Linked DNA regions of Drosophila melanogaster. The protein of the gene in region 1 binds, or shares a complex with, the protein of each later gene. Each region holds a gene or a part of one and is shown on either strand. Other genes may lie near its edges. The genes, in order: Chrac-14, PolE4, Mocs2B and Ada2a.

Region 1 (6,873 bases):
TTTATTTGCCTCTCCATCCTCAAAAATATCCGCAAACAGATCATTCGAATCCGCTTGGCCAGTAATATCAACACAAATCTCAAGATTCTTCTTGCCTTTATCCAGCTCCTGAACTTCCATTACTTCCTCCAAGTCTGAGTCGGTATCAGTATCTACAATCTCCACCTTGTCCTCGTTAAGATTCTTCTTGCTTTCCTCAATTGCTTGGGATAGTTGTTTGCTCTCTTCAATAGCTTGTGAAATAAGTTTGGCCTCCTCAATCGAGTTGTCAGCCATGTCGGTCGGGACTGTCGTGATCTCTAGCAACTTTTCAAGGCTTTGAGTGTCATTGAACTGAGTGGCCTCCATGATGTTGCCAACTTCCTCGTCGTTCATTCCGCCGTATTCAATCATATAGGCCCGTGCAGGTCCCTTGGCCGCATGGCGCAATTGCTTGGTTTGAGCTCGATTGAGGCGCAACTCTTGGTCCGAGTCGTACTCGTAGTCCTTTTCATCGTACACCTTGGTCTCCTCCATTGACATAGACAGTGCTTTGGCCAAATCTTCATCGAACTCTGTGCCTAGGTCCACACTTTTCACAGCCTCTTTCTTGGTGGAAGTGCTTGGCTTCTCATCCTCCTCCTCAGCGGGTACCTCCTCAATCATCTCCATTTTAACCTCTTGTTTGGTGCTCTCCATTGCTTTCTTTTTAAGATCCCTGACCAGCAGGAATCGTGTATGTTCATCCGAGCTAATTTGTCGGGTGCACTGTTCAATGGCCGTTGGGGTGAGAATGCCCTCCTCATTGAAAAAGTCACACAACTCTGCATAGGTAAGCGTATGTCCGCCCATCTCCTGTTCCGCCTGCTCTAAGCTTTCCTGAACGGCTCGGCGCTTGAGGAGTCTCTTCATCTGGAAGGAGCAGAAGTCATCGCTGCGGGCGGGCAACTCGTGCAGACGGCCCCACGACGATTGCTTGCGCGTCTCCTTGATGTCTGTAAGGATCTCGTGTCGCACATCGGCTGGCAGATTCCGAAAATGCTGACTCTTTACATCGATGGCCTGTAAGCTAGAGTTGTAAGAATGTCGAGCGGTTGACTCGTCAAAGGAGCTGTCTGAGGCACTGGCACTGGTGTCCTGCTCGCTTTCATCTTGATTATCTTGCACCGATGCAGCCGGCAGTTCGGGAAGCTTAAACAAGTCATCCTCGTCGTTCTTCTTAGCTGGAGGCGGTCGCTTAACCGGGGATTTCAACAGTAGCTCTGCATTCTTGCCCAGCGCTTGCTGCACTACTTTTTCTTTGGCCAGGGATTGAAGGAGCAAAGCCTGAATGCGATCAGCTTCGTTGCTGAGCTTATTCCTCTGCTGCTGGCGACGTGCCTGAAGGGGTGACATAAAGAGGATTTAATTTAGAGAGTGAATTTGATATATTCCCCTATTATAACTCACAATAGTGTCCCTTTTAAGCTGCGGCACGCATCCATCGAAAATGAAAACCGGTCGCACACGATAGTATAGCAATTTACAGAGACGATGGAATAGACCCAGTAAATGGGCATTACTCAGGGCCGATCCCTTGTTGTCCTGAAAGCCCTTCACAACCTGATGCAACCAAATCGATATATCTGCAGGACGAAAAGTACTCCAATCAGCAAGTATTTCATTAGGTGGCGAAAAACGATGCTTACCCACTGCTAGGATTTTGCCCTCCAAAGTCTCTACGGGGACTGGCTTGCCGCACGGCTCAATGAGCTTCCACAAGCCCGTAACTCCCATTTTCTACTAAAATATTAATTGTATAAAACATGCAAAATAATAACTAACTAAACTTTTTGTTGCGATAAGACGCGCTTTTTTAAACAGCTGTTTCCAGTGCTGGAAAGAACACGCGGTTATCTATCTGGATGATTTTTAAAACAGTGATTTTCTGATCACATATATAAACAAATAATTACTGAAATACTTAAATATTATTCTGACACCTTTATATACTTTGAATGAAGGCGTAAAAAACTAGATCGGACTGGATTGAAATGCGGCATTATTTAAGGGTGTAATTCCAACCGTCACTTACAATCCCAAATTAATCCCATGTAAACGTTGACTAACAACATAATTTAGTCTTTGAGGAAAGTGACAAAACACAAGTGAAGTTCTTAGATAATGCCTATGTTTAATGTTTTTTGTTAATGCTCAATACTAGCTTTGTTCTTAATGACTGAAGAGGATAATTGATCCGTATAGTTTCTCCTATTCGTAATCACTCGGGGGCTTCCTCTGCTGTTGCGGTGGCACTGGCGTTGGCATTTTCGGCAGTGTTGGAATCCTTCTTGCTGGCCTTGCTCTCCTTTTTCTCCTTGACCACTTTACGATAGACCTCGAGATCCTGCGTCAGAGAGGGCACGAAGCTTTCGAAGTCTAGCTCGGTGAGGGTCTGTAGAATATCCTTGGCCGTGATGGTCTTGTGGTTCTGCTTGTGGGCCAACGCCGTCGACGAGGATGTCACGAAGATGGCAAACACAGATGCCGCTCGGGCGATCGCTGCTCGCGCTTCCTTGCTGACACTAGCTGACTCCGGCAGTGCTTCCTTGATGAGCCGGCCAATCACGGCATTCGGCAGGTTAAGATCCTCGATGCGCTCGACCATTTTGCTGCTGCTTATCTGCTTTTACTTGGTGGGCACTTTTGATTTTCCGTCTAGATTTCGGCGTCTTTGCTTCCCGCGTAAAGAGTAAACAGCTGGCTGAACAGTGTTGGACAAGGCCAGCGTGCACGCATCTACACCAGCGATGTGGCAACTCCCCCACTCAATTCTGTTTGCGCCGCCTCGTTCGCATCAATTGTTTACACATTTTTATAAATAACAGCCAATTACCCCGGCCTAAATGTGCACGGAGCGATTCGGGCCAAACTTGAAGCTGTTCCCCTCCGAACTAACGTGATACAAGTCCTGTGCGTGTGCCAGCTACCACGCACATGGACCAGCAACAAGCGACGCCGCCAAAAAAACGCAGGCACAGCGAGTACCACGATCCAGATTATCAGCAAACGGAAGTTTCTAGCCAGGATGAGGAAGAAACCTGCGCAGAAGCCGAGTCGCCCGGTCAAAGAAAGTGGACCAAGACGGAACAGTCGGATGGCATGCTGCCGTTGTCCGACAAATTTCAGCGCATCCGGGAGCTGCTTCGTCTGGAGTTCCAGCGCGAAATCTCTCAGAAGGTCGAGCAGCTGGCCGAGATCGACCGACGACTGCTGCAAGGACGACAACTGTTGGACAGACTACGCTATCAGGTGGTCAGCGAATATTACCGAAAGCAGCAGGTCCCCCTCACCGGCGCGGATATTGCGAAAGTGCGCGGCGACAGCCTTTTTGGGGACGACATAGCCGCTCCGCAGCTGCCACTGCATCCAGCCATTAAAAAAATCGTTGGCAAGCGCCCTGTTGTCATCCAAAATCATTTGCCAGAGCGCACGGCGGCCACCTTGGCCAAAGAAACCATCCGACTGAGGAATCCGGCTCATCGTCGGGCGGAACGAAGGCGGCAACAGAAGATCAAGGAGCAGGGCATCGTAACCGATCACTCCAAGGACAAAAAAGATCAGCCAGAGCAGGAACCTCCCATTTCCGTTAAGTTGGAGGACGAGCAGCCGTGCACCAGCCGACAGGCCCACGAAAGGCAAGTGGAGCTGAATGCCTCGCGGCTGAATAACAAGAACAAATTCAACTTCGTGGTGGGTAATACTTCCAAATACATTGGCGAAGACTCTCGAGAGAATGGCACAGGTGGGAATGCTTTGACCTATAAGTGGTTGGTCTATGTGCAAGGCAAAGATCTACCTGAACCACTTGAAAAATACATTAAAAAGGTAAGTAATTCCCATAAGCACGTACGGAGTGATTCAATCTCTTCTTCGCAATTCTAGGTGCGCTTCCACCTCCATCCGTCATACCGCCCAAACGACATCGTGGACGTGCACAGGTCTCCGTTTCAGCTTAACCGACATGGTTGGGGCGAGTTTCCGATGCGCATCCAGCTATTTTTCCAAGAGCACTTGCAGCAGAAACCCGTGCAACTAATGCACACGGTGGTGCTGGATAAAACAATGTGTGGACTGCACACGATGGGCGCAGAGACCACTGTGGAAATATGGCTGAGAGCAAAACAGGCGATAACGAAACAGAAAAGCGGCAAACCTCATCCTCCCCATGAACAGGAGACTGCAGTTCCTGCTCCACCTCTGGCTGCTCCGAATGTTTTAGAGCCTTCGGTTTTCGCCTTTCCTGGAGAGTCATGCAAACCGCGCACCATTTCAATCACTCAAAATAAGGAGGAACTTGATGACAATCTGTTTGCTGGTATCAACAAAATTGAACTCAGCGACGACATTGAGAAAATTGAACCAACTGTGTTGGTTTCAGAGCCCCTGAAGTTAAACTACAGTCCAAGAAAGCAGCCACCCACTCCGTCATCGCCTCCTAGGACTCAACTTCGGTTAAATGCGGCTCAGGTCACCGCTTCGAAGCCTTCTGTGGTCTATCTGCCAGTAAACGGCCGAAGTCCTAGGCAGGAATCCTTGCCAGAAAGGCAGCGGCAGGAGTTTTCGCCAGTAAAGCACTATCCACCGGCATCTCCGCAGAGAGCGTGGAAGGAATCCTCGTCGGATCGGCCACCAATAAAGCCTGTGCCCAATGGCCATCACCAGGGCAAGAAGAATGTTGTGTTTCAGAGAGCAGGAAAGCTGTACATTATCGATCCCTTGCAGCGCAAGCTTAAGCAGGCTGCAAAGCAACAATCCCTGCTGAAACCACAATTGAGTCTTCTTAAGCCACCGTCAGAAACGCGATGGCATATGCTGCAGTGCATGCAGCACGATCATGGGTACGCCAACATGAGCGGCGAGATGGAGGAAAAGCCAATGCTGTTACCTCCAATTGTGGACACTACCATACAATCGCGACCCCGAAGGCTGGAGCACATCTTTAGAAGTGCACAATTCCGAAATATGCGCAGTGCTGTGGAGTTCCTGCTGAGCCGCCTCCCGCTTGCGTCGATTGATCAGCAAAAGGAGTATCCATTCACTTGTATAACCCTCGAAGAGTTCCACAATCACACTGCTCTAAAACAACGTTGCTTTGAGTACCTGCGCGCACGTATGCTCCGTCGCTGTCTGATGCAGCACCACGAGCTGCATAAGTTGGACATTAGTGGAAAGGAACACTACTGGAGTTTACGGGAGATAGTGGCGTTCGCCAGGGTTCATGGTTATACGCCAGCTCTCAAAGATGTTTTACCTGTCGTGCATGAAAAGAGAAAACAAAAACTGAGCGATGAGGAGCAACTGGCTCGGCGTGTTCAGGCGCAACTAAAGGGCGAGCCCCAACCGCAACTGTCGGCCTATAGCAGTCTCAGCTCAGGCAATCGGCTGGAAGCTTGGATAACCAAGCAATCCGATCGTCTGCTTGGTCATGATCAACAGATGCGGGATAAGGAGTTCATCGATGTGTTGGGTGTGGACAAACCTCATCCGCTTGCGTCCAGGTTAACAAACTCAGCAGATGTATCTTTCCAAATGGTGAATCATCGCCAACTACTTTATCTACCTCCGCCGAAGCACTTGGATTCGACCTTGCAGCTGGTCCAGGAAATGTGCAAGGACATTAATATCACACTGGAACCGGAGGAATCTCCGCCTGGCGTCTCCCAGCCACTGGCTCTCTCGATGCTCGGACAAGTGCTGCGCACTTTTATTGAGAAATTGGTGCGCCGCTCCTTGGCGGCGAAACTGCAACAGGAGACTTTGGAACAGTTGCCACCGGCGGCGGCCAATGCTCCGTTGTGTCTCCAACCTCAGGACATAGGCCGTGTCATCAGTCTGTGTTCCGAATTGGATTTCCTCGGAAACAGTCACTTGGGAGTTGCTCCGATAGAACCACAAATCTAATGTGCAGTTGCCATTGTTTTGAATTTATTTTTTATCAAGTCCGCGTCATAGTTCAAATTCTACTGGGATATTAGTTGATATCTAATTAGAGCCTTGTACTCGTTGGTAAGCATAAATCTAAGCAATAAATTAACTAAATTAATGTCCGAAGAAATGAATACTGCGTTTTTAATTATCAACGATTATCATATTTTGGACGAAATCATGAGATGAGTGGTCATTAATTTTTAAATTTTGAATATCTGGCTGAAGACTTTTAAATTGTTTTATCAATATAAATAATAATCGCTACAATTGCATATTTGTACGAAACATGTAAACATTTTTAAGTCTTATCAGCTATCTTCACAGAGTAATATATCTTTATAGTGCCCTAGAAGTATGCAGTGAAAAGTGCCGTTAACAAATTGAATAACTGTTAAAGGGCGGTTTTTTTTTGCAGCTCTTAGCATATCCATATGATTCTTCGACTATTATCGGTCGCAATCGCATCTCTTTTGGGGGCGCTCTCTTCGCTCTCCCCGCTCACCGATCGATTTCATTCATGGCGCATGCCAATGCCGCCAATGTAGGGATGAGGTCCATCTGTTTCTCTGGCTCTGTTTTCCTCAGTCTCTTTTCCGACGTGCGCGCAACAAGACCTAAAATCAAAGTGGAGCAGAGAAGAGCCCGCTTCCCGCGCTTGCTGCTCTTTAGATTAACTAATTAATTACTTGCCTGATATATAAAATGATTCACGAGTCATTATAATAATTATAATGTCGAAGCCTTCTACAGGCCATATAGCAGCTCCAGTACGTCTAAGATAATCTATGAAAAGCTTTTGGATCACCAATTTTGAATGCTATTTCTTTTCCTTTTTTTTTTGTTTCGTGTGTGTGCGTTCGTGCGACAGAAAATGTGGAGGCGCTAAAATGTTCTATTTTTATTTTGCAGTAAAATCCACAAGGA
Region 2 (6,831 bases), on another chromosome or scaffold:
ACCCCGCCCCCTGCTTCTTCAAAGCCCAAAGTCTATTCGATTCTGGAGAAGGCTCGATATGTGATGGACGATCCCAACTATGGGATCGTAAAGACGCACAGGTTAGCTAAGTTCAATCGCGTTAATGATGCCTTTAGAAGTTAAATTCTTATGCTTTCAATAGCGTGCATCTGTGTTATCAACCATTGTTAGAAAACCCTCCTTTAATCCCTTACTTTTTCAACAGATCACGGGACCACGAGCTATATGACCACCATGGAGAATATGATCGCTATGCCACACCGCCGCCCCAAACATCAAAGCACTCGACCCACCACGCCCAGTATGACAGTAGCTCCTACGAGCGCGACTATCGGCGTGAGTATCACCCCCACTCGTCCTCCTCTTCCTACGCGGCGGCCTATCCAGGTAAGATACCTAGATTTCTAGACCAATAATCTCTTCCCCTCAGCAGGCATGTAAAAATAAACAAAATGAAGAAAAGAAAAAGAATACGACAAATAGCAATGTAAACGTTTAAACTTAACTCGCGCAAATCAAAACAAAAAAAAAACTCGAAAACAAAACAAAATCTATCCAACTAAGCGCCGATAAATTGAAAACGCAGAAAAAAACAGAAACCAAAAAAGAAAAAGAAACAAGGCCGCGTACCAAAATTATTAAAACGGCAACCCATCCCATTTTAACAAGATTTTAAATGCACTATGCCTGAACAGAGGCCAAATCAACTAAACCGAACAGCAACCAGTAAATCATCTTCATTAATTGGACGACTACTAACATACTCACAAGAAGCCAGAGCCAAAATATTAAAACAATCGATCAAACAATCAAATTACTGAAATTCACACTTTGAAAACAAAACCATAAAACTTCATGGCAAGAAACCCAAAAATATTTGAACATGCTTAAACTATAAAATCCAAGCTGAAAGGTTTGTGGAACAACTTTTTTTGAAACGTGATGAAACGAAATGCATTTTACTCAAAACAATAACGTTTCGTAGGGTGTAGTGCATTCAAAACCGGTTAAACAATATATTTTTCTTTTTTTTACAATGTATATATGCTAAGCAAAAGAAAAACCAAAAACCAAAAAACAGCACCACAGAGACAGAACAAGAAACAATTTAAAGTCTAAACAACAAATAAAATTCTTTTCAAAATAGCAAAACCAAGCAACGGTCGTTCATCATCGTCATATCGACCAACCACCTCGGGCTCGGGATCACATTCATCTGCTCACTACGAAACTGGATCCCGATCTCGTGAAAGCGTGCGATATCGCTCGGCTCCATATCCGAAAATACGTTAACCCATCGATTTTCCAAAACCCCAAGAAACCAACCTCAACAACAACTACAACAACAACAACAACCACAACTAAACAATGTTAAGCGTAAAGATTAAAATATATTCCAACGAAATATCAAAATGTTTGAAGTCAACAATCCAACTATTCACACCTATTAAATATAATATATAAACGAAAATCAAATAAAAAACGTAAATTTTTATTGCAACTGTTGTCCGATATTCAAATTGTGTTTAAAATTAAAACAAGAAACCAATAATGCAACAAATTTTATCCTCAAAAAGATTGTAAAAACAAAAGACATACTTCAATCAACCTAATACTAGTTAAAGCCAATACGAGAAGAGAACTAAACACAAGCGAAAACCCCCCCAAAACAATTAATTTATCAAAGCATAATTTTAGACTAAGCTTGAAAATATTGTTTCATAAGATAATGGAGATAAAACCAACATAAAAAGCAAAATATAAACTACAAATGTATGTGCCCAACGACAAAGTAAGTATCGCCTGCGGACAGAGTATGATTAACAAACAACAAACCACACTATTCAGCAGTTAAATAAATTAACCAAATGCCGGCTTCGTTACAAATTCCGAATAGCAAAGAGTATTGTGAAACGTTAAACGTTGTCGTTTATAATTATGATTTCTTTTTTGTTTTTTTTTCTTTGCGAATCAACAATTGTTTTATAACTTAAATATTATTTTTAACATAAAACCATAAGGACGTTTAGAACTGAATTTGTTTGCCGCTGAATATCCCTAAATAAAGTATAAAAGTATAATCGACAAATCCAGTTTCATTTGTGGGGGTGTTCAAAAGTTCATGGCTCCATCAAGGAATAGCAAACTGTCCACAGCAGAAATGGCCATATCCACGTCCCTCTTTTGTATGGTTTTCTTTTTGGACTGCGCCGTGTAGGTATATGATTCCCGTGACAACGAGGCTATGAATAGTTCCACTGCCTTCGCCACTATGAACACGGCCTCATTGTTGGCCATATGCAGATCCGGATCTAGTTTCATTATGTTCCGTATCCTGGCCAACGGCAGTTGTGTCATCTTGGCTTCGTTATCAGCAGGGGCCTTGTTGCCATTCGTCACTGGAAGGAAAGGAGCCATATAGGAGAAATTCTATCTAAGTGCATCTAACTTACCTGGTTTTTCTGTCAATTGTTCTGTTGTAGATTCTGCCTCAGGATTATCCGGCGATTCCTCGGTGATTTCCAAAGGCTCTTCTGTTTCCGCTAGCTCCGCCTCCTCAGTCTCCATGGCCTGCTGATGCTCCAAGTCCTGTTCTTCCGAGAATTCAGCCTCAAATAGTTCCTCGCTGGCCATTGCGCACTATAAAAATTGAAAACAAACCAAGCGAATGCAATCCAAATACCATATTTTTAGAGATGAGTATCAAGGCAGCCGCCAAAAATATCGATATTGCACCATGTATGAAATCGAAATGGTGGCAGCTCCGCTATCTTCTCGGCGAAGCTCCTTACTAACAGATTTAACTTTTTAAAATAATCTATAGTAATTGTACTACTTCTGTGTTTCAAACACGACATTTTGTACACAGTGGAAAAAATCGACATTTAAACAATCACTATTGAATTAAAAAAGTTGGCAGCCCGAAAACTTCACACGCTTGGCAGCTCTGCCATTATTTTAGTTCATTGGTGTACATACTGTTTTTCAGTCTACACCATTTTTAATTGTAATTTTCTGTAAAGATTGTTATGATAAAAATGGAAACCCCAAGCGAGTTTACTGAGAAACAGCCACCCACCCACGATCACCAGCCGCGTCTTAACGAGGTGGCCCAAAAGTTTCTCGCCGATTTGGACGAGGAGCGCCAGCGATTGTCCGCGGACTTTCCACTTTGCGCACTGCTAATCGACGAGGGTAAAATCAATTTGGCCCTTTTACAGGGTATTTTAATGGTACTAATCCCAATATTGCAGCTGTGGACCGTGTCTACTGCACTGGTCGTATTCCCGGAAAAGAGTTCTACGCAGACGTGTACAAGCAGAAGCCGATGAAGATTACCCAAAAGGTCTTCGTGCCCGTAAAGCAGTATCCCAAGGTGGGTTTATACAATTAGCTGTCCTCTCCGTTCGAAAAATAAATCCGTACCCTTGCGCAGTTCAACTTCACTGGCAAGATCCTGGGGCCCAAGGGCAATTCGCTGCGTCGCCTTCAGGAGGAGACCCAGTGCAAGATTGCCATTAAGGGTCGCAGTTCGATCCGCGATCGTAACAAAGAAGAGCAGCTGCGCAGCACAGGCGACCCGAGATATGCTCATCTTCAGAAGGACCTATTTTTGGAGGTCAGCACGGTGGCCACTCCGGCGGAGTGCTATGCCCGCATAGCCTACGCTCTGGCCGAGATCCGTAAGTATCTTATTCCAGACAAGAACGACGAGGTTTCACACGAACAGCTGCGCGAGCTGATGGAAATGGATCCCGAGTCAGCCAAAAACATTCACGGACCGAATCTGGAGGCCTACAGGTAATCTTACACCCTATGCAGCCTTTGGGCATGAGAATAAAAATATATTATTTTGCAGATCTGTCTTCGACAAGAAGTTTGGAGGCAACAGCAATGGGGCTCCCAAATACATCAACCTGATTAAGAGAGCTGCGGAAAATCCGCCCGAGTAAGTTACTTGTAAAGTATAATTTTGTATTATTTAATGACCCCACCAGGAGTAATGGAACCGAGAGTCCTCGCGTCATAGTAGTGCCTTAAATCCTAGCCAACATCTGTTAACCCAGCAATTAACATTTTCATTTTTATAGAGTCGACGATGTGGAGGAGGTGGCCTATGAGTATGAACATCGTATGCCCCCCAAGCGTCCGCCTACGGGCTATGAGTACAGCAAACGTAAGTTAATCCCAAGCATGCATTCTTTATTTGGGTAGTGCCGGGGTCTATGACATAAGATCGATTTTTCCCCTGAATGCACCAGTTTTTTGGGATGCACCTTTGACAGGAACTTTGGGTTATAGATTAGATTAGATCATACTATCAAAACCAATAACTGTGATTGAGCAAGCTCTCAGATCAAACTATATAATACACTGGAATGATTAATATTATGCAACGATTCACTCCTTTATAGTAATTACATACACGCATAAAATACTACAAATAATAATCAACCAATTTTATAGCACGTCCATCAATAATACCGACAAACGCAGCGGCATATAAACGTCCATATCCGACTGACATGAAACGTATGCGCGAACCGCCCATCAAGTCCTATAAGCCCAATCCGTATACAATACTTAAAAAATATAAATAATAGAGCTCCGGTTGATTTCGTCGCACACCGCTATAAATGAAAACAAAGGACAATGCTTACGTTATAAAATCCATGCTGGGAGCACATTGAAAATACTTTAATCAAGAAGAAAGCAGCATTCAAAATGATGCTATCAATTAATAAACATTAATATTTATAAAACGCGCACTTGCGCTATCAATTCCCACAAACAATATTAATCTTAAATTTGTATATCCATAAATATGTTAAACTGTTGGCATGCCTTTTCTGGACCATTTCAACAGATAATAAGTCAAATAATTCCTATTATGTTTAAATTATGATTTCCCGAGTTCGTAATTTTCTATGAATGTAATAAAATGATACGCATTGAATGAATTTAATAAATTCTCTGCAATCAGATCTAACTATCCTATTCTTTTAAATGACTCGACCCCTCATTTACCATGAATATATGCATTACGTAATTAAACAATTGTCTCACTAGCAGTAGAATCAAGAGGTTTATATCTAATGAAATAAAACCGTGCGAACTTATCACATTGTTTAATCAAAAAAAAAAAAAAAAAAAAAAAAAACGAAATGAAGATCACATCAAGACCTTAAAGTGCGTCTAAAAATAAGTTAATAAACTATTATAAATTTATAAATGAAAAAGAAAAAACATTGAATAAACATATAAAGAGTTTGCATAACTAAAATATTTCAGGTTTTTTCAAAGTATTATTTTATTTTAAATCTGATGGGTAAGTAGCTTAAGTTTAACTGTTAATGTCTAAAGTAAGGCTATAAAGTTAATAAAGGCTTAAAACAAATGTCTGTCTATCTTTGGATATATTTTCTATCAGGGATATGGTTTTCTTTTGTGTTGTTCAACTAACATTGATATTGCAAGGGCCTCCCAGTGAAGCTGGCTATCCAGAACTTCTTCCTTATCTCATATTCATTGGCTTCTGTGGAGCGTGTATGTTCCTGGGCTTGTAATCTTAGCAGGATTCTCTGATAGACCTCATACGCAGTTTGGGGCTGTCCACAACGACTGTTGCCGCACTGCTCAGAGAACTGTGGCTCCTCGACGTAAGTATCCTCGATCGAAAAAGGATTCTCGCTGTGCGGTATCATCTGAATGATATGGATGTCTCAGGCCTGATTCTTGACACAACTGATAGGCGAGCACTCACCTTGGCTTTTTTCACTGACGCTGATTTACTCCGCTGACTAGATGTGTGTCCTGGCCGCTATGCAGTTGACAACTGATCCGGAAGGCGAAGTAGTCGCTTGAGGCTTGTGCCACCACCATAAGTACCACCCTTAGAAGCCACCATATGGTTGCCAGGCCCTGCGCACGTTGCGGAATTCCTCCTCCCACTCTTGCGCCGCGTTGCAGCTGCAGTGAGCTCCTACAAGGACCTCAGCGCTTTGTTGTTGTCCTGGTCGCGCGTGTGTTTATCCCCTGCCACTCTCGGAAAGCAAGCCACCGAATCCTGCCGGTCTGCATGTGTGTGTGTAGCTATATAGGGGTGGATTTCGTTGAATGGATTCAGCTGGGTCTTTAGCAGCTCTAGTTTATTTCAGTTTTACATTCGACAAAATTGCATACATTGTTTTTATGTACTCATAATCTGTTCACATATATATAGTTTCCTTCACAATGATTCGGTAAGCCACTTGGTATCGCATTTTGTTCCGCTAAGTTAAAATCAATTATGTACTAATCTCTCGACTAAGCGCAATACTAAAGCAATCACACTAGGCTAATTCGATCCTATAGGTAGCGTATCTAAGTTCAAGTAATGGCTTACAAACAATTTTACTTCAAATGAGGTCTAAAACATCGATATTGGAAGTAGAGGAAGCTGAGTTGGAAGTGTAAAATTTAAATAACCTATAGCTCTGGGAAGTTCGCTTCCCTGGAAAATCGTTTTCCCATATAATACAGTAACAAAGCAAACAACTATCGCAAATTTGCCAGGCCATCGACGTTATCCGAGGGCTACATCCCAATGTCAAGCTCATCTGTTGCGGTGCACATCTCCAAACGTAATCACGTAATGCCGGTGGTGCAGATTTATGGAGCGGTCTTGAACTCAAACTGCTTCAGAACCGAAAGGTCACTGCCAACTGGAGCGGGGCCAGAAAGAGGCCCAGCAGCCAGAGGCTAATGTCCCGTCCGTGAGCCGCCGAATCGTTGACGGAGGAAGCAGATGTGCCCGCCGGTGCCGGAAGC
Region 3 (7,741 bases), on another chromosome or scaffold:
AATCAATAATTACCATTCACATTTTACGTTATTTCAAAACAATCGATAATTACCATTATTCTGTACAGTTGCTCGTTACTCACCATTTGGTATCTATCGGTTAAACATTTATAATAATATTTGGTTATATTAATAAAATTGCAACACCTTCAAAATAGTTTAAATTTGTTATACATTTTTAAGGTATAACTTTTCCTAAATTATTGTAAATATACATATATGGTTTATTTAAGGCTGTAAATTATCAAATCCCTTTTCAAAAACCAACCATTGTTCAGAAAATATAAATTATATATTTTAATTTTTACAGATATATACTGATATTGAACCGGCAACTATCGATTGTCGAAATGCAATTAGCGGAGAAACATATCGTGGCCCTTATGTTTCCTGCAATCGATGTTTCTACCTTCACTTTCGTTTCCGGCGTGGTGCGTAAGTTGCTCCGCGTTTTCGCAATTTTAAGCGATTATCACTTTGTTTGAACTCTAGGCCGGCCATGTGCCTATAAGTTAACAGCAAAGCATATCGTCGCCATTGGGACCAAAGTAACTCTCAAATCTGGTTCAATTTTAATCCGTAGAAATTTTACATCATGGACAATTCTGGAAATAACCGCTACGAGCTGTTGTTCATGGACGACGATGACTCCTCTGGGCTCGCACAGCCACAGATTGCCGCTGTAGTCGCGGCGCCCAAGAAGCCGGAACCGGCAAAGGCGCCAAAGGCACCAAAGAGCAAGTCGGAGAAGGAGAACAAGCCGGTTGTGGCTGCCCGCAAGGCCAACGCTCCGGTGGCTAAAAACGCTAGTCCAGTGAAAGGCGGCAAGGGTCCCGCTGGCGGGGATGTGGGTCGTCCCAAGAACCCAACAGCAAACGGTGCCAACAACCAGGGCAGGTTCAACAACAACCAACGCTACGGAAATAAGGAGTCGAACGGAGAATTCGGAAACGAGTTGCCGCAGCGTCAATTCAACAATCGTGACAACAGGGGACCACCACGCGTCCGTACCGGCGAGAAGTTCGGAAAGCGCGAGTTCGATCGCCAGTCGGGATCCGATAGAACTGGTAATTATGTCTAGATTCTTCTGTCCTTGGTTTTCGTGTTTGCTTCTCAAGTGAATCCGTTTTTTCTGCGTGGAAAATGCTGCCCTGTAATGGCGGCATGCTGCAAAATATAGAGAAAACGCAACCCTTGGCAACAAGATTGATTACATATCGCGTATTTCTCACGTGACTTTTAGGCATTTGTAATACGCAAAACGTTTGAAAACGTGTTTGTAAATATTAATTTTAAATGATGAAATAATGAAATTACTGCGTTGCAAACTCGTGTGTTCACACATGTGTTTTCTTGGACATTTTTTTGTTTGATTTTTTTGATTTTTGATCTTATAATTTATTAATTTATTAATTCGTTACCGAAAATATAAAATTCGTTTGGTTAAACTTTTAATTTGTCTTATACGGCAAACATTTTCCCGAAAATCCTCTTTACTCATATCGATTGAAGCCTATTAATAGCTGATTTATTCTCCACAGGCGTCAAGTCAATTGACAAGCGCGAAGGCGGTGGTGCCCACAACTGGGGCTCCCCGAAGCAGGACATTGAGGACTTAAAGACGACCGGGGAGACCTCACCGCAGGCGGAAAAGGAGGACTCGGCCAACGAACAGTCGGCTGATCCCGCGGTCGCCGCCGAAGAGGATGAGTCCAAGCAGATGACCCTTGACGAGTGGAAGGCTTTGAGAGACCAGCGTGCCAAGCCCAACTACAATTTGCGCAAAGCGGGCGAGGGAGCCGCCGACAATGCCGAGTGGAAGAAGATGATCGTGCTGAGCAAGAAGAAGGAGAGCAACAGCGAAGACGAGTTGGAGTATGATCCATCGCTGTATCCTCAGCGCGTGGGCCGCCTTCAGCGCATCGTGGACATCCAGTTCAACTTCAATGATGGACGCAAGGTCGGATTCCGCAAGGGACCTCGCCCCGGAGCCGGTCCTCGCGAGGGTGGCTTCCGCAATGACGGACCTCGCGGAGAAGGTGGCTATCGCAATGACGGACCTCGCGGAGAAGGTGGTTATCGCAACGACGGACCTCGCGGAGAGGGTCCACGCAATGAGGGACCGCGTGGAGAAGGCTACCGCAATGACGGACCGCGTGGAGAGGGATTCCGTGGTCCCCGCTTTAACAACGGACCCAGCAACGGCTATGAAAACAGACAAGACAACAACAGATTCGGAGAGAAACGCCGCTCCGCCCAGAAGCCACTGAAGGTTGACGATGAAGCTCAATTCCCCACTCTGTGCTAGGAGTTGAGAACAACAATAAGATTTAATAATTTCGCGTATTAAATAATTAGTAAGCTGGTCCTTCGGTTAACAAATAACCATTAGATTTTCGGGCGCGATCTATGAAGCTTGACGACCGATTAATAAACAGAAACAAATCAGCCACGCTTATCCATATTCCTTAGTTGTAAACAAAAATTTTTGCATTTTTCACTCTCATCATTTACGCATAAAAAAAACTATTACAAATAGTTGGAATGTTGAAATAAATTTACATCAATTACAAACCAAGGAATAATAATTAATTAGGTTTTTATTAGCTTAATTCGCTGCCATCCTTAATCTTTTGAATGAATGCACTTAATTCTTGCGCCGAATACGATTTCTTTCGGCTCTTCTTCGGCGGCGCGGCTTCCATAGATGACGGTTCACGTTTGGTCTGAGAATAGATTGAATTTTTTTAGAACTGCAATTACAGGAAATGTTTTAAGAACCTACGAAGTGTCTGTACTCGGGCGAAATGGACTCCAGTTGCAGCAGTCTATTTTCCACTCGTTTGATTCTACTGAAAATGTTTTCCTCGTTGTCGGTGGTTAGACCCATGTACGATTCAATTGCCTGTAGTCGTGAATTGGGTAGCGATTTCCTCATTTCTTTGGTTGGATCCGTTTGACCGTCACGCGATCCCATTAGTTTATTCAGTTCGAGTTCGTAGTTGGGTCGCATTTCCATTTGCTGAGGTCCGCATCGGTTGTTTACTCGTCGGACTGTGATAGGTTGTTTGTAGACCAAAGTGGCTATAGTTATGAAAATAGAGCATCGTTTACCCACCTTTTAAATGGCAATTTGACTGCTCCTGCTTAATAATTGTGCTCTGCGTTCGAGCGCAGGAATCGCTCAAGTTTTGGTCTGAGCTGACAAAAGACGATTTGAAGTCAATTACATTTTGTGAGTTTATTTCGTCTCGTTTTCTGTTGACAAAACATTCTAAACGCTTGGTTAACTCAGCGTCATTAACTCTAATTTGCACCAGAGTTCGCGGGACGTCATGTGACTCCTCAACTTTGCAGGGACAAGCGGCGTAGTTGAAGCCACTTTTCGATTTCTCTACAATGTACATGCACAGATGAGAGAGAAGCCAATAAAATCGTAAACGCTCGATTGTTAATTATATTTACAAGTGTACAAATAATAAGAATACATGTCATGCTGGCTACTCATAAGATCTTACTAGGCCTGATGGACTCCTTGTTCTCCTTCCATTCGCTGTCGTTATCGCCGTCGTAGATTTCCTTTTTCCAGATGGGAACCCGAGTTTTTAGCTGGTCTATTGCAAAAGATACTGATTCTAAGGCCTCAGAACGATGTGGTGACGAGGCGGCTATAACTACACTGGCTTCGCATACGGGCACTGTTCCCAATCGATGATATATGACTATGTGCTTCAGATCGAGCCACTTAGATCGGAGATCTGAGCATATTTTATTCATTTCCTTGAGTGCCATGCTATCGTAGGCCTCGTACGCCAATGACAGCACCTGAAAGGTCGAAAAGTACAAATGAATCAATGAAATCAATTGATTGAGATAATGAAGCCACCTTTTTCCCTTGAAAATTATCGCGCGTAGTGCCCACGAAAACGGATGAGGCTCCACAGCCTTCATCGGCCAGCAACTGATGGATATGAGCGATATCTATGGGGTCGTTTACCAATTTCACGTGATCCATGGCGGAAAGGTTAGCCTCCACTCAGTGGCGGTATGATGGCGAGTTCGTCTCCTTCCTTAAACAGAATTCTATCACTCAGGTTGTCAATGTACGACTCGTTGTGGGCCAAAATCAAGTTATCCCGGATGGAGGTCAGGCCAAATTTGGACACCAGGTGGTCCAGCAGTTCGGTGGCAGTAATTTCAGTAGGAACTTCCACTGTCGACCGGGGAGTGTTTGCTAATTCACGGGATTTAGCAAAGAACAACACGTGCACGTTGACAACAGGTCCATCCGCATTCATATTTACAAATGAAGATTGGCGATGACACAGCAGTTCCATTTTCCGACTACCTATGTATCGATTTCTTATCGGAACGAAGTGGAATAGTCCACGGAAAGGGAAACAGCTGACTGAAACTTTATTAAATGCTTAATAACTTTTTAGATAAATCAAAGAAGCTTCTTACTCATTGCATAAACAATACAAATATTTAATACATAGTAATTATACAGCGAATTCATTCTGACAATCCGAATCATCAACAGCATACAATCGATATATTTTGTTTAAAGTTCGTCCATCGCAATTTACACCGATACTTAATTTCGCAAGTGAATAAAATTGTTATTATTCCCTATTAAACTAATTTAACTTATCTAACGTAGATAGCGAACTTGTGAATATTTAATGATAAGTTAAGTTGCCAGATAGATTCTTTTTTCTTCACTTTCCGTGTTGACATCGTCAACTTTCCATAAAGAACCATGAAGACACGTTTCAATACCTTCGATATAATCTGCGGAGTGGCGGAACTGCAAAAGTATGTAAAAAATCCGGATAATTCCGATGCCCAGGAATAATGGTACATCTACATTTATATTCCAGGCTGGTCGGCTGGCGAGTGAATCAGATCTATGACGTGGATAACAAGACCTACCTCTTCCGGATGCAAGGGACCGGTGCAGTGGAGAAGGTCACTCTGCTAATAGAATCTGGTACAAGATTCCATACCACTAGGTTCGAATGGCCCAAGAACATGGCTCCGTCCGGTTTCAGCATGAAGTTGAGGAAGCACTTGAAGAACAAGCGCCTGGAAAAGGTTCAACAGATGGGTAGCGATCGTATTGTTGACTTTCAGTTCGGTACCGGTGATGCCGCCTACCATGTTATTTTGGAGCTCTACGATCGTGGTAATGTGATCCTCACCGACTACGAGCTGACCACGTTATATATTTTGCGTCCGCATACGGAGGGCGAGAACCTGCGCTTCGCCATGCGCGAGAAATATCCCGTGGAACGGGCCAAACAGCCCACGAAGGAACTGGAACTGGAAGCTTTGGTTAAGCTGTTGGAAAATGCCAGGAACGGCGACTATTTGCGACAGATTCTAACACCCAACTTGGACTGTGGTCCGGCAGTTATAGAGCATGTTCTCCTCTCACACGGCTTGGACAATCACGTTATCAAAAAGGAAACAACGGAAGAAACGCCGGAGGCGGAGGACAAGCCGGAGAAGGGCGGTAAAAAGCAACGTAAGAAGCAACAGAATACGAAACTGGAACAGAAACCATTTGACATGGTTAATGACTTGCCAATTCTTCAGCAAGCAGTAAAGGTAAGAACAATATCGTGGAAATATTTATTATTGCTGTTAAAGTAAATAAAACGTTCTGTGCAATCTTTTAGGATGCTCAAGAGCTTATAGCTGAGGGAAATAGTGGAAAAAGTAAAGGCTACATTATTCAAGTTAAAGAGGAAAAGCCTACAGAGAATGGAACGGTGGAGTTTTTCTTTAGAAACATCGAATTTCATCCCTACCTCTTTATTCAATTCAAAAACTTTGAAAAGGCCACATTTGAGTCCTTTATGGAAGCCGTTGATGAATTTTACTCTACGCAAGAGTCGCAAAAGATTGACATGAAAACGCTACAGCAAGAGCGTGAGGCACTAAAAAAGCTGTCTAATGTCAAGAATGACCACGCAAAGCGTCTAGAGGAATTGACAAAAGTCCAAGATGTGGACAGAAAGAAAGCAGAGCTAATAACGTCCAATCAAAGTCTGGTGGATAATGCAATTCGGGCTGTTCAGTCAGCTATTGCCAGTCAATTATCCTGGCCGGATATTCACGAGCTTGTAAAGGAGGCACAGGCAAATGGCGATGCTGTAGCTAGTTCCATAAAGCAGCTTAAACTGGAGACTAATCATATATCCCTTATGCTCAGCGATCCATATGACAACGATGAAGACGACGATCTTAAGGATCCAGAGGTTACTGTTGTGGATGTCGACTTGGCTCTGTCTGCTTGGGCCAATGCCCGTCGATACTACGATATGAAACGTTCGGCTGCTCAAAAAGAAAAGAAAACTGTAGATGCTTCCCAAAAAGCTCTTAAGTCTGCGGAGCGCAAGACGCAGCAGACGCTCAAGGAAGTGAGGACTATATCGAACATAGTAAAGGCACGGAAAGTTTTCTGGTTTGAAAAGTTTTACTGGTTTATCAGCTCTGAAAATTATTTGGTTATTGGAGGAAGAGATGCCCAGCAGAACGAGCTTATTGTTAAAAGGTTTGCTTTCAATTACTTAAATAGATCGAAGTATTTATAATTATGACATGTTGTTATTCCAGATATATGCGTCCGAAAGACATTTATGTGCACGCTGAGATTCAAGGCGCCTCGAGTGTTATTATTCAAAATCCCACAGGAGAAGAAATACCTCCCAAAACGTTGCTAGAGGCAGGATCCATGGCTATTTCGTACAGTGTTGCTTGGGATGCCAAAGTGGTTACCAACTCGTACTGGGTAACAAGCGATCAGGTCAGCAAAACTGCACCGACTGGAGAGTACTTGGCAACGGGAAGCTTTATGATCAGAGGAAAGAAGAACTTCCTTCCCTCCTGCCACCTGACCATGGGTCTAAGTTTACTTTTCAAGTTGGAGGATAGCTTCATTGAGCGCCATTTGGGAGAGCGTAAAGTTAGAAGCCTGGAGGATGATCAAATAGATCCAAATGTTAAAGAAAACGAAGTTGAACATGATCTTTTGTCGGATAATGAAGACGCTGATTCAAATATAAATCTATCGGAACCAAGCTCCAATACCGAAATTACAGCTTTTCCCAATACAGAAGTTAAGATTGAGCACGATACTGGTCGCATTATAGTCAGATCCGACTCCGTAAATCCAGAGATTGAAGAGACTAAAGAGAGTGAAGTTGTCCTAGACAAAATTTTGAAAAAGACGGACGATGAAGAAACGACCATTATTTTGGCTGGTCCAAGTCGTAAAAAGCAAGTAAGTGCCAAAAAGACCAAGGAAGACAAGGCACGGGCGAAACAAGAAGCTGCCAAGCAGGAAGTCCCTCCTGTGAGTAGTGAACCAAAAAATCCATCTCAAGTTAAGAGAGGTCAGAAGGGAAAGCTCAAGAAAATGAAGCAAAAATACAAGGATCAAGATGATGAAGAGCGGGAAATTCGCATGATGATTCTCAAGTCATCGGGTAAGGAAAAGCCACAGGCCAGTGCCGATAAAGTGGTGGAGAAAAGTGAGTCAACCAAGGAGTACGTGAAGCCAGAAAAAAGTGCAGCTCCCAAAAACCCAGTGGAACTGGACGATGCTGATGAAGTGCCCGTCGGTGGGGATGTGGATGTACTCAACAGTCTGACTGGACAGCCGCACGAAGGAGATGAGCTGCTGTTCGCGATTCCAGTCGTTGCTCCCTATCAGGCTTTGCAAAACTACAAG
Region 4 (8,929 bases), on another chromosome or scaffold:
AACTAGTTTGTTTTACATTTTGACGGATTTATTTTAAGTGATCCTTTCAATCATGCATCTTTCTTGATTTCACGCGTTCAGTATGATAGAGAAATTTTACATAGTTTTTAAATGAAGTTTTCAATAAAGATTTTCAAACACATTTTCTTCTATCATTATCATTTGCTAATCAAGCATAGCTTCGAATCGAGATCAATCCCACATTCAGTTTTTAATTATTAACCAAGACTTAGCCACAGAAAATGAAGATTCGTACCTGTCAATGCATCCAAAAGATGCGAGCTTAGAAGGCGCACTGCTGCTGCTCAGAAGAAATATATGTCAAACTAAATTCTGTGGTCATCGGAAAATACAAGCAGGCAGGCACATAAAGCGACAGCGCTTCTGCGTCAAATCAGAAGTGTCCACTTAAGCTGAATGTATAGCTGGGCCAGAAGCAACACGAAAAGTGGGTCTAGTGGCCATTGTTTTCAGTTTGCTGATGTGCACAATGGAAAAGCCGTGTGCATACAGATACAAATACTAAGATATCTATATTTAAAAATCTGGACAACAGCTGGAAGAGGCGAAGGTAAGGAAACAGCAAAGGGCCCGAATGCGGTTTAGTTGCGAAACGTTGCTCGAGTCTCGGAGATGGCACTGCAGCTGCAAATTGAGAAGCTCAAAGGTTTGGACAACTACAAGGCCTGGTCGATGACGGTGCGGGCGTATCTGGAGTCGGAGGAACTCTGGACGGTGGTGGAGAATGGTCCCGAGAACAACGAGGAGGTGAGTGATGGTGTGGCGCCGTTTATGGCTACAGAAAACCCATGTCCATGCCATACTCCTTGCAGTCCCTGCTAAAGGACAAGCGGGCCAAGTTCTTGATTCTCTGCCTGATCGAGACCAAGTTGTGCCAATTCATGGTCAGCATCCGCACGGCTCGGGATCTGTGGAATTACTTGCGCACCCAGCATTCGCTGCGTTAAAGTAGAAATCAATATAGATCAGTTTCAGTCCATTGTATTACAAATATATGAATTACACTTCACATGCGTAGCGCCCTTCTCCTAGGCTTCCGGAAGTTCGATGACTACAGGCTGGTCCTCGGGATCCTCGTCTAGCAGGCCCTCGAATTCCCATCCCAATTTTTTCTCCAGCCGCTTAGTTAGCCGCTCAGCGCTGACACTTAAGCCGCCCGCATGCAGATTGACCAGCAGTTCGCGTACATCTTTGTAGACGGTGTTATGCGGACCAGGCACCATCAGCTCCTCGGGCAGATGGGGCAGCTGGTGGGCCAAAACCTCGCTGTATTTCATGTACGTTAACTTGTGCTTGGTGACCGCCGTTTGCGAGTGAGCCAGCAAGCCCAAAAGCTTGCGCCAGTGGGCCAGAGACTCCACAGAGTAGCCCACTAGGAAAAATGCGTAAGCCAGCTGCAGTTCCTCAATGAGTCCATCGGCCGTTTCAAAGCCTTCGAGCAGTTTGTCAACAGCATCGATGCAGTCCAAGGCATGGCGGGAAACATCAGCGGGCAGGGCATCTTGTGGAACACGCAGGGGTACGGTAGTGAAGCGCGGAGCTGTTCCTTCCACGGGCTTAAGGTCCGGTAGGAGTTCGCTCTCATCTAAGAGAATCCGAGCTGCAGCATTCCGGCGGCTTATGCTGACAGTAGCGGCTCCACCTCGCGGCCGATCTGCGTCCGGGCAGGATTGCAGTTCGATGTTCGTACGGATGGTTCCTTCTGTCGGACGGCAGCGATCCACGCAAGACTCCGTCACGCTGCCGGTGAGTTCCTTCCACTGGACCACGTAACGATAGTCGTACGGCGCCAGCACGCGCTCCAGTTGGGCTAGGTTTTTGCGTATTCGGTCTCGCTCCACTTCCGGTTCGGCAATCCTCCGCGGGCGCAATTCCTCCAGTTCGTGGTCCCACTCTCGTACGACAATCTCATTCGGATGGAAGAAGTGCACGAATCCAACACGAGGGGCTGCATCGCCGTAGGGACCACGGGAGGAGCACCATACGTAGTGGACTCCGGGTGGAATCATCTTGACGCCTCGGAAATCCGGACCAATGGTGTAGGCACAAAGATCAATGCCGAATTCCGTGCCCTCGGGTACACCGGCGATGACCAGCACTCCGCCATCAGCCAGGAGGCGTAGGGCTAGCTGCGGATCCATTTTCATGCTGGAGTTGTCCTTGTTCATTGTGAAATATTGTTCGCTTGCAATTATTAGGAAAAAGAAAACAATTGCAAGTGCGGGCCTTTCAGCAAGTTGCCAGATGTGACGGCTATTTCGATAAGTTCTTTCATGTGAGCAGTCTGGCAACACTAGACAAACAATTCTTTCAAGCGGCAAATTCAATTTATATATACTTTTTTTTAAGTAAATCTTTTGTTTGATATAATTACATTGTATTTAGACTTTGTTGATTTTTGTTACAGTGTATATTCTGCATTTACTTAAAATTCTTGCTGTTCTTCACTTTATTGTGTAAGTGGACCATGACTTTATATCTAAACTATATTTATACGTAGTAGTAATTAGTATTGTAAGCTGCGTTTAGTGCCGATATCGTCGAGTATTTGGCGCAGCTCCTCATCCTCGAAGCGACCCTCTAGTGAAGGAATCAGCGCCTTGGCCTCCTCGGGCGCCTCCGGACACAAATTACCCAGTGCCGCCAGTTCGAATTTGTGCAGCTTTTTCTGCATCAGCAAGCTGAATTTGAAATAATTGAATATTACTACTCGTACGTGCTTTGTTCGGTTTTGCTACATTACCTTCGCGCAGACATTATGGTCTCCTTGTTTTTGAACTTTCGAAAACTATCCGTGTAGGCGTACGTCTTCATGAAGACCTCGGAGAACTCTTGCTCCTCGTCGGCGGATTCGTTTTGTCGCTTTCGGTGATCGAGAAGCATGTGCACCTCCGATATCAGCAGCGTCTCGGCATTTTCGAACTCTGAAACAAAGAGAAACGAAAGGGTTTTTTTTTCTTGAATTAGTTACTTGACGACATTCAGGAAATTTACAAGTGAAACATTGGAGAAAAAATTAGCCCTAGCCATAGGACGGTGGTCTGCTGATATGGCCATGTTCCAGCAGAAAATCGTAGATCTGACGCGTTTTGTTCACGTCAATTTTGATGAGACGTCGCGCATCGGCCAGTCGTAGATATCCGAGCTTTGCTTGCTCCGTAACGAGTTGATTCTTGTAGTCCAAATACGACTGCGGAACCAGACGAGCCACACTGCACAACTTTCGCTCGCCATCATCCAGTTTGGAGTAACCAGGCAGATCTGGGATCAAAGAAAAATTATATTCAGTTGGTGTCAGGCAATGAGTAAAGTGTTTCCCACCTCCAATCTCAATGGGACTGGCCTTTCGACGCGTGTTCATCACATATAACTTTGAGTTAATGGCCAGGGGACCAGGATCACCGCTCCTGTTGCTCTCGTAATGCTGCACCAATTGCTGCCAGTCGAAAGCATCTGTTTGCTTCAGCCTGCTGTAATCTCGCTGAGCCTGCTGACGTTCTTTGCTCAAGCGGGCATATAATTTGGCTCCGGAAAGAGTTCGAACGCCGTGCTCCCGCAGATCGTATAGCTTGTGCAGCTGGCTATGCAGCTCCCGATAATAACGCAGAGACTCCAACAGCATATCGAACTTAATGGGGTCAGGACAGATCTGCATGAAGCCCAAGAAACGCATGCAACTCGCATCGCTGCCAAAGGCGTGCACGTACTTGGAAATCCAGCTGACGGTGCGATTGGGCATTATGAGACCGTGTTGCCTCATTATCTTGTAACGACGCTGGCGCTCTCTGTGAGTAAATATGCATATTAGATTTTTTTTAGTAGCTTTCTGTTATAAGATCATACCTGAGGCGATTGTTGTATGCCCGAACTAGTCCGAGTTGCAATTCCTCTGTCACTTCGCGCTCAAACTCACTCTCAGACGCCTCGTTGTCGTCATCCCTGCCCCTATGATCCACCATAATAGATAGCAGACTCTCTGCTGAGGTGTCGTACGGAGTATCGAAGTCTCCTCTTGCACAGCGGTAACCTGCGCTTAGTCTGAACTGCATGGAGGCGATGTCGTCATGACGTGGTGGATCCAAGCTGCGCATTTTGAAGACATACGGCATTCGCTCGGGCACATAGCTGTCCCTCGCATGCTTCAGATTAAGGAGCCGCTCGAATATCCCGCCAAAGTAGCAATCGTGGTAGTGACGACGCACTTCTGCGGGTTCGTGGCGCTGGTCCAGAGCCTGGGAGACCGCCTCCCAGTTGCCATAGCCGTGGGTGCGAAGTGTTTTCAGCAGTATGCGCTCGTCCCGTGCCGTCCAGTGTGGCTCATCGGCGAAAACCTGTATGTTGTCGCGGACTATGATGTAAGCGTGGTTATTGCGGTGAGAAAAGGCCTCCTTTCCACGTGAGAAACATTGCAGGCAGAGCAGGGTGTCGAGGCACTCGGAGCACTTAATGTACGGCTCTGTGAGACTGCAGCGACATGTGGCACACCGATTGGCATCCTTTGTAGCCGATGGAACACTGCTATTCTGGTCCCGCGTCTTTTCCTCCATCTCCTCCAAGTACCTGTGCAACGTGTGCGGATTATACAAAACCATGGAGTTCCTGGTGTGTTCATTCTGATGTGCATGGATGAACCGCTTAACCTGTGGCCCCAGTGGCTCAACTGCAAAGAGGCAATTCAGTGTGGTAAAAATGTGGAGGAGTGCCACTTTTGGGGCACTCGAAGCCAAAGGTTTCAGCCAGTTTCACTTGTAAGTTGCATTTCGGTTGGTGTAGGGCGTTGGTTACCTTTGGGAAACTGCAGGTCGGCGGCGTCCTCATCCACCATATCCACGGGGTTCATAAAAGACATAGTGAGCTAAGAACTGCTCAGTTTGTTAAAGTTTATATTAAGAAATTCTAATTTGCACAATAAAATGTCGCTGTTTTTAGTGATGAGAAAGGCAGGGCTATAACTGGCGAAGAAGCTATCGATAGGTGGGTCGCATCGTGCGTAGATACGTTGGTCACACTAGCAAGCATGTTGAGTTTATCATTCCGGGTGTTTTGATTTTGTTCGGAATTCTTGGTTTTTTTCCAAGAGAGTTATGTCCCTGGTGCCAGAAGCCTCTACCTCGAGAGCGCCCAAGTACTGCTACTTCTTCAAGACCCTGCTGGTGGAGGAACTGGAGCTGGAAACTTCCTACCACAACCTGCACTACGGTCAGTGCGCATTAATTGGACGTCTGGCGTTCAAGGCGAATCAGTACCGCCTAGAAAACGTGCGCGTTAAGTGTTTGCCAAAGTAAGTTTTTCTATATTACCTATCCATCCGGTCCTTACCAATGATGCTGCATCTTTCAGGAAGTACTCCTTGGGCGAGGGCACCGTATCCTTGCTTATTCTTGGCCTTACCCATGACAAAGTCGTCGAAAATCGCGTGAGTACCGGCCGCTACTGCATTGTGCGTGGTGAAGTGGTGCTACATAATGTGCAGCATCCCAAAGGTGCCAAACTGACCGCCGGCGGTGTCTACGACAAGATCAATAGTCTGTCCAACGATCCGTTGGCCCAAAAACAGTATCTCAGCGCGCTACTTGCCACCTACAGACCGGCCATCGACTTATGGTACATCCAGGTCATCGACAGAGCCGAGGACTTGCTGACTCGCAGGCTGGAGATGAGAAGTCTGATCGAGAAATGAACACACACCACCTGACCACCTCGCGAACCAATCCGCAGTTCTATATATTCAGTCAGCTCTTTGGTAACGATTTCGACTGGAATAATTGCAATTGGGGGGGCATTCAAAACGTTACCTGGAAAGAATTCTGGCAGCGTGAGGGGCATGAGCTGCTCGAGCAAAAGTGGCACAAGCGGTTTCCCGAATACAAAGATCTTATCGAGGTGGTTTCGTCGGAGGAGCAAGGCCTTTGGCAGGAACTGTGGGAGAAGCACGCCAGCGATTACAGTGAAAAGTTCTGGTATATATTTAGCTGTGCCTTTGAGAACTACCAACACGATTTGGCCAAATCATTTGGCCTTGACGTCGCTGAAAACTCAGAAGATGTTGAGGAGGACTTGCAGAACCTAAGCCTTACAAATAAGCCAATAAAATCGAAACAGCAAAGGGTCACAGAGAAAGAGGAGGACGAATCATACTTGACTGCCAACGACGATCCCGAGGATTGTGACGAGGAACAACAGCTGCGCCTTCTCGGATTGCCAACATCATTTGCGTCGAAGGCAGATATAATTAATTATAGAAAGGAAAGAAAGACACAGTACGAACTATCTAGCAGCGATAGCGAGGACGATCATGATCTGTTGACCATGGAGAACAACGAAAACGAGGCTCTGCACGGCGTTCAGAGCGGTTCTGTTAAAAAGAAAAAACGACGGCAAAGGCAAATAAAAAAACTCAAGGCCAGGATGCCAGAGTGCATGCAAGAGGATAACAACAAAATGGTCAAGTACTGGGTCAAGCGATTCTCGCTGTTCTCCCGCTTCGATCAGGGCATTCGGCTGGACCGCGAGAGCTGGTTCTCGGTGACACCCGAGAAGATTGCCAAACAAACGGCCCGACGACTGGCCTGCGACGTGATCGTAGATGCTTTCTGTGGATGCGGCGGCAATGCCATTCAGTTTGCAAACACCTGTGGACGCGTAATTGCTGTGGACATCGATGCCGAGAAGTTGGCCATGGCCAAGCATAATGCCGGCATTTATGGTGTGGCCCATAAGATCGAGTTTATCCACGCCGATTTTCTGCAGTTTGCGGCCAGCACAAAGCTGCGCCCAAATGTGGTTTTCCTGAGCCCTCCGTGGGGTGGTCCTGACTACCAAAAGCAGGCCACCTTTGATATCGAAACAGGTCTCCTGCCCGTGGGTGCTAGCCAACTGATGCAGCTGTCCCGTAGCCTGGCATCTGACGTAGCTTTCTTTCTGCCACGCAACGCCAATATGAAGCAGGTGGTCGCTCTAAGTGGAGTTGGGCAGCAGTGCGAGGTGGAGCACAACTATCTGGACACCCGAATGGTTGCGCTCACTGCTTATTATGGTAAAGGAATCATAAAGGGTTCAGTGGGAGAAGATGAGTAGGATTCGATTGAGAGTAATTTTAATAACATCATTGTTTTTATATAAATAAATATATTTAATTTCATACATATGTATAGTTGAATGGATTTAAAAAAAAAAACGGGCTCATAATTTCATGGCATTTTTTGCTTATTATTAGATATAAATCATATTCAAAACGAGCCAATAACATAATATGAAAATAAATCTATGAAAGGCATTTTAACTAATATGTAATACAAATGATTTGGTAAGTATCTTTAATTAAACTCGAAGCATATAAGCACACAGAGTTCACAAATTCCTGTAATTATGGATCAAAGGAAAATGTTGGCTATGGTCAACAACTTTTTTGTTCATTGTTTATCGCCTTAAGTTTTTCCCTCTTTTTGCCACATAGAAAGATAGGAGAAAAGTTGACTAATGAATAAAGCCGCCTCACATGTAACGCAAGAGTAAAATCTTTTCACCCATCCCTTCAGTGCAGTGATTGTTGCCAAGTGACCGGCGATGCCAAAGAGTCCAAGCTCTTTAGCCAATTTAGATGGCTTAACAAAGCTCAACTGGCCAATGGTCAATGGTCATAACCATAACGTTCCGCAATCCCTTCTTGCAACTGGCATTGGACTTTTAATTAAAACGCAAAAGGAAACAAAGCGTGCGTCAATTTTTAAGAACTTTGTGCCACAAGTTGTGACTTGGCCCAAAAGCCATGGAACACAGGCAGCCAGCCGCATCCTGCTGAACCTGGCAACGTCGGTTCGGGGGCAATTAACATGCTCGTCTCGCGGCGCAGGCAGCAGTTCCTTCGGCATTCCACAGCAGACGGCAGACGATGAGCCGGAACCAGAAGCAACAACCCTTTTCATGGCTTACAGCTTACTTAGCTCTTTCGGATGGGGTGCGTTCGCTTGAAGGGGCTTGTGGTGTGGCCAGTGGGCGGTGGGCGGGGCATGTGCGGAATTTATAGCTGCCAACTGGCAACAGAGATATTTACCCCTTCCTCCATTATCCCCCAACCCCGCGCCCCAACCAGTTGCGGCAAGTGGCTGCTCCTTTCCACTGCAATTAGTTTGATTAACTTATTAGTGTGCGTCGGAGCAGCTCGAGCGAAATTTGGAGCATTCTTTCCGGCGCTGATTTGTGGGCTGCCTTGCGAACGACGGATTTTAGTGGGAAGTTGGTTGGAAAATGGCAATATTTTGACAAGAGTAAGGCGAATATTCTGAATATTATAGTTTTTAATTGTATACAAAGTTAAATTTAAGTTAAATGTAAAGTTTAATGTTGTGGGCTTTAATAGATTTACATATGATACGTAAAATTTGGCGTATGAGTTCAGGCCAGAACTTATAGTTGATATCAGTGATATAGTTGTACATAGTATATAGTATATAGTTGTAGTATAAATATATAGAGTTGATATAGTTAATGATATCAGAAATGATGTTAAAAAAGTTTTTGTTTAGATACGTTAAAAAATAAATATAAACCAATTTGCTCTATAAGACATTTTACTAAAAGTAATGAGCATCCTTTTATGCCTTTCCTAATACATATATATTTCAGAAAGAATTATGCAACTATTTGTTACCTTTTTATACCCGTTACACGTAGAGTAAAATGGTATACTATATTCGTTGAAAACTATGTAACAGGCAGAAGGAAGCGTTTCCGACTCCGTAAAGTTGATATATTCTAGATCAGGATCATTAGCCCAGTGGATATGGCCAAATCCGTATGTCTTTCCGGCTGTCCATATGAACGCCGAGCTCTTGGAATCTATAAAAGCAAGAAAATTAAGATTGAGTAGGAGAAGATGGCCACGCCCATTAAACCACGCTAGATGCGG

What was found.
Region 2: Chrac-14 (region 1) and PolE4 share a complex: the UniProt entries of both Drosophila melanogaster proteins name them as parts of the DNA polymerase epsilon complex.
Region 3: Chrac-14 (region 1) and Mocs2B share a complex: the UniProt entries of both Drosophila melanogaster proteins name them as parts of the ada2a-containing (ATAC) complex.
Region 4: Chrac-14 (region 1) and Ada2a share a complex: the UniProt entries of both Drosophila melanogaster proteins name them as parts of the ada2a-containing (ATAC) complex.

The regions. Positions count from the first base shown.
Region 1 is NT_033779.5:8,433,258-8,440,130, reverse strand, and holds Chrac-14 (chromatin accessibility complex 14kD protein), read right to left. Parts: upstream 2,727-6,873; 5' UTR 2,627-2,726; coding exon 2,240-2,626; 3' UTR 2,135-2,239; downstream 1-2,134. Other genes in the region: mus201 (mutagen-sensitive 201), read right to left, coding at 1-1,359, 1,429-1,604, 1,668-1,755; D12, read left to right, coding at 2,956-3,846, 3,904-5,922. UniProt on the Drosophila melanogaster protein: Accessory component of the DNA polymerase epsilon complex. Participates in DNA repair and in chromosomal DNA replication. Histone-like protein which promotes nucleosome sliding of ATP-dependent nucleosome remodeling complexes.
Region 2 is NT_033778.4:22,407,678-22,414,508, reverse strand, and holds PolE4 (DNA polymerase epsilon subunit 4), read right to left. Parts: upstream 2,721-6,831; 5' UTR 2,656-2,720; coding exon 2,475-2,655; intron 2,421-2,474; coding exon 2,134-2,420; 3' UTR 1,927-2,133; downstream 1-1,926. Other genes in the region: qkr58E-1 (quaking related 58E-1), read left to right, coding at 1-101, 227-408, 1,169-1,314; qkr58E-3 (quaking related 58E-3), read left to right, coding at 3,060-3,216, 3,276-3,397, 3,458-3,822, 3,881-3,970, 4,113-4,198, 4,489-4,622; VepD (Ventrally-expressed protein D), read right to left, coding at 5,481-5,726; CG6044 (uncharacterized protein), read right to left, coding at 6,702-6,831. UniProt on the Drosophila melanogaster protein: Accessory component of the DNA polymerase epsilon complex. Participates in DNA repair and in chromosomal DNA replication. Has a role in cell cycle progression. Required for wing morphogenesis.
Region 3 is NT_033777.3:25,123,049-25,130,789, forward strand, and holds Mocs2B (molybdenum cofactor synthesis 2B), read right to left. Parts: upstream 4,312-7,741; 5' UTR 4,299-4,311; coding exon of another isoform or gene 4,026-4,298; 5' UTR 4,016-4,025; coding exon 3,887-4,015; intron 3,826-3,886; coding exon 3,519-3,825; intron 3,395-3,518; coding exon 3,119-3,394; intron 3,055-3,118; coding exon 2,786-3,054; intron 2,727-2,785; coding exon 2,604-2,726; 3' UTR 2,584-2,603; downstream 1-2,583. Other genes in the region: vig2, read left to right, coding at 351-431, 584-1,067, 1,542-2,308; Mocs2A (molybdenum cofactor synthesis 2A), read right to left, coding at 4,026-4,298; Clbn (caliban), read left to right, coding at 4,763-4,818, 4,884-5,613, 5,685-6,562, 6,625-7,740. UniProt on the Drosophila melanogaster protein: Catalytic subunit of the molybdopterin synthase complex, a complex that catalyzes the conversion of precursor Z into molybdopterin.
Region 4 is NT_033777.3:18,250,511-18,259,439, forward strand, and holds Ada2a (transcriptional adaptor 2a), read right to left. Parts: upstream 4,978-8,929; 5' UTR 4,871-4,977; coding exon 4,807-4,870; intron 4,727-4,806; coding exon 3,865-4,726; intron 3,807-3,864; coding exon 3,044-3,806; 3' UTR 2,946-3,043; coding exon of another isoform or gene 2,765-2,945; intron 2,703-2,764; coding exon of another isoform or gene 2,528-2,702; 3' UTR 2,333-2,527; downstream 1-2,332. Other genes in the region: CG18598 (uncharacterized protein), read left to right, coding at 634-768, 834-968; CG12320 (uncharacterized protein), read right to left, coding at 1,050-2,189; Polr2D (RNA polymerase II subunit D), read right to left, coding at 2,528-2,702, 2,765-2,945, 4,807-4,870; moi (modigliani), read left to right, coding at 5,106-5,302, 5,362-5,701; Tgs1 (trimethylguanosine synthase 1), read left to right, coding at 5,698-7,098. UniProt on the Drosophila melanogaster protein: Component of the histone acetyltransferase (HAT) complex ATAC; predominantly involved in acetylation of histone H4, including at Lys-6 (H4K5ac) and Lys-13 (H4K12ac).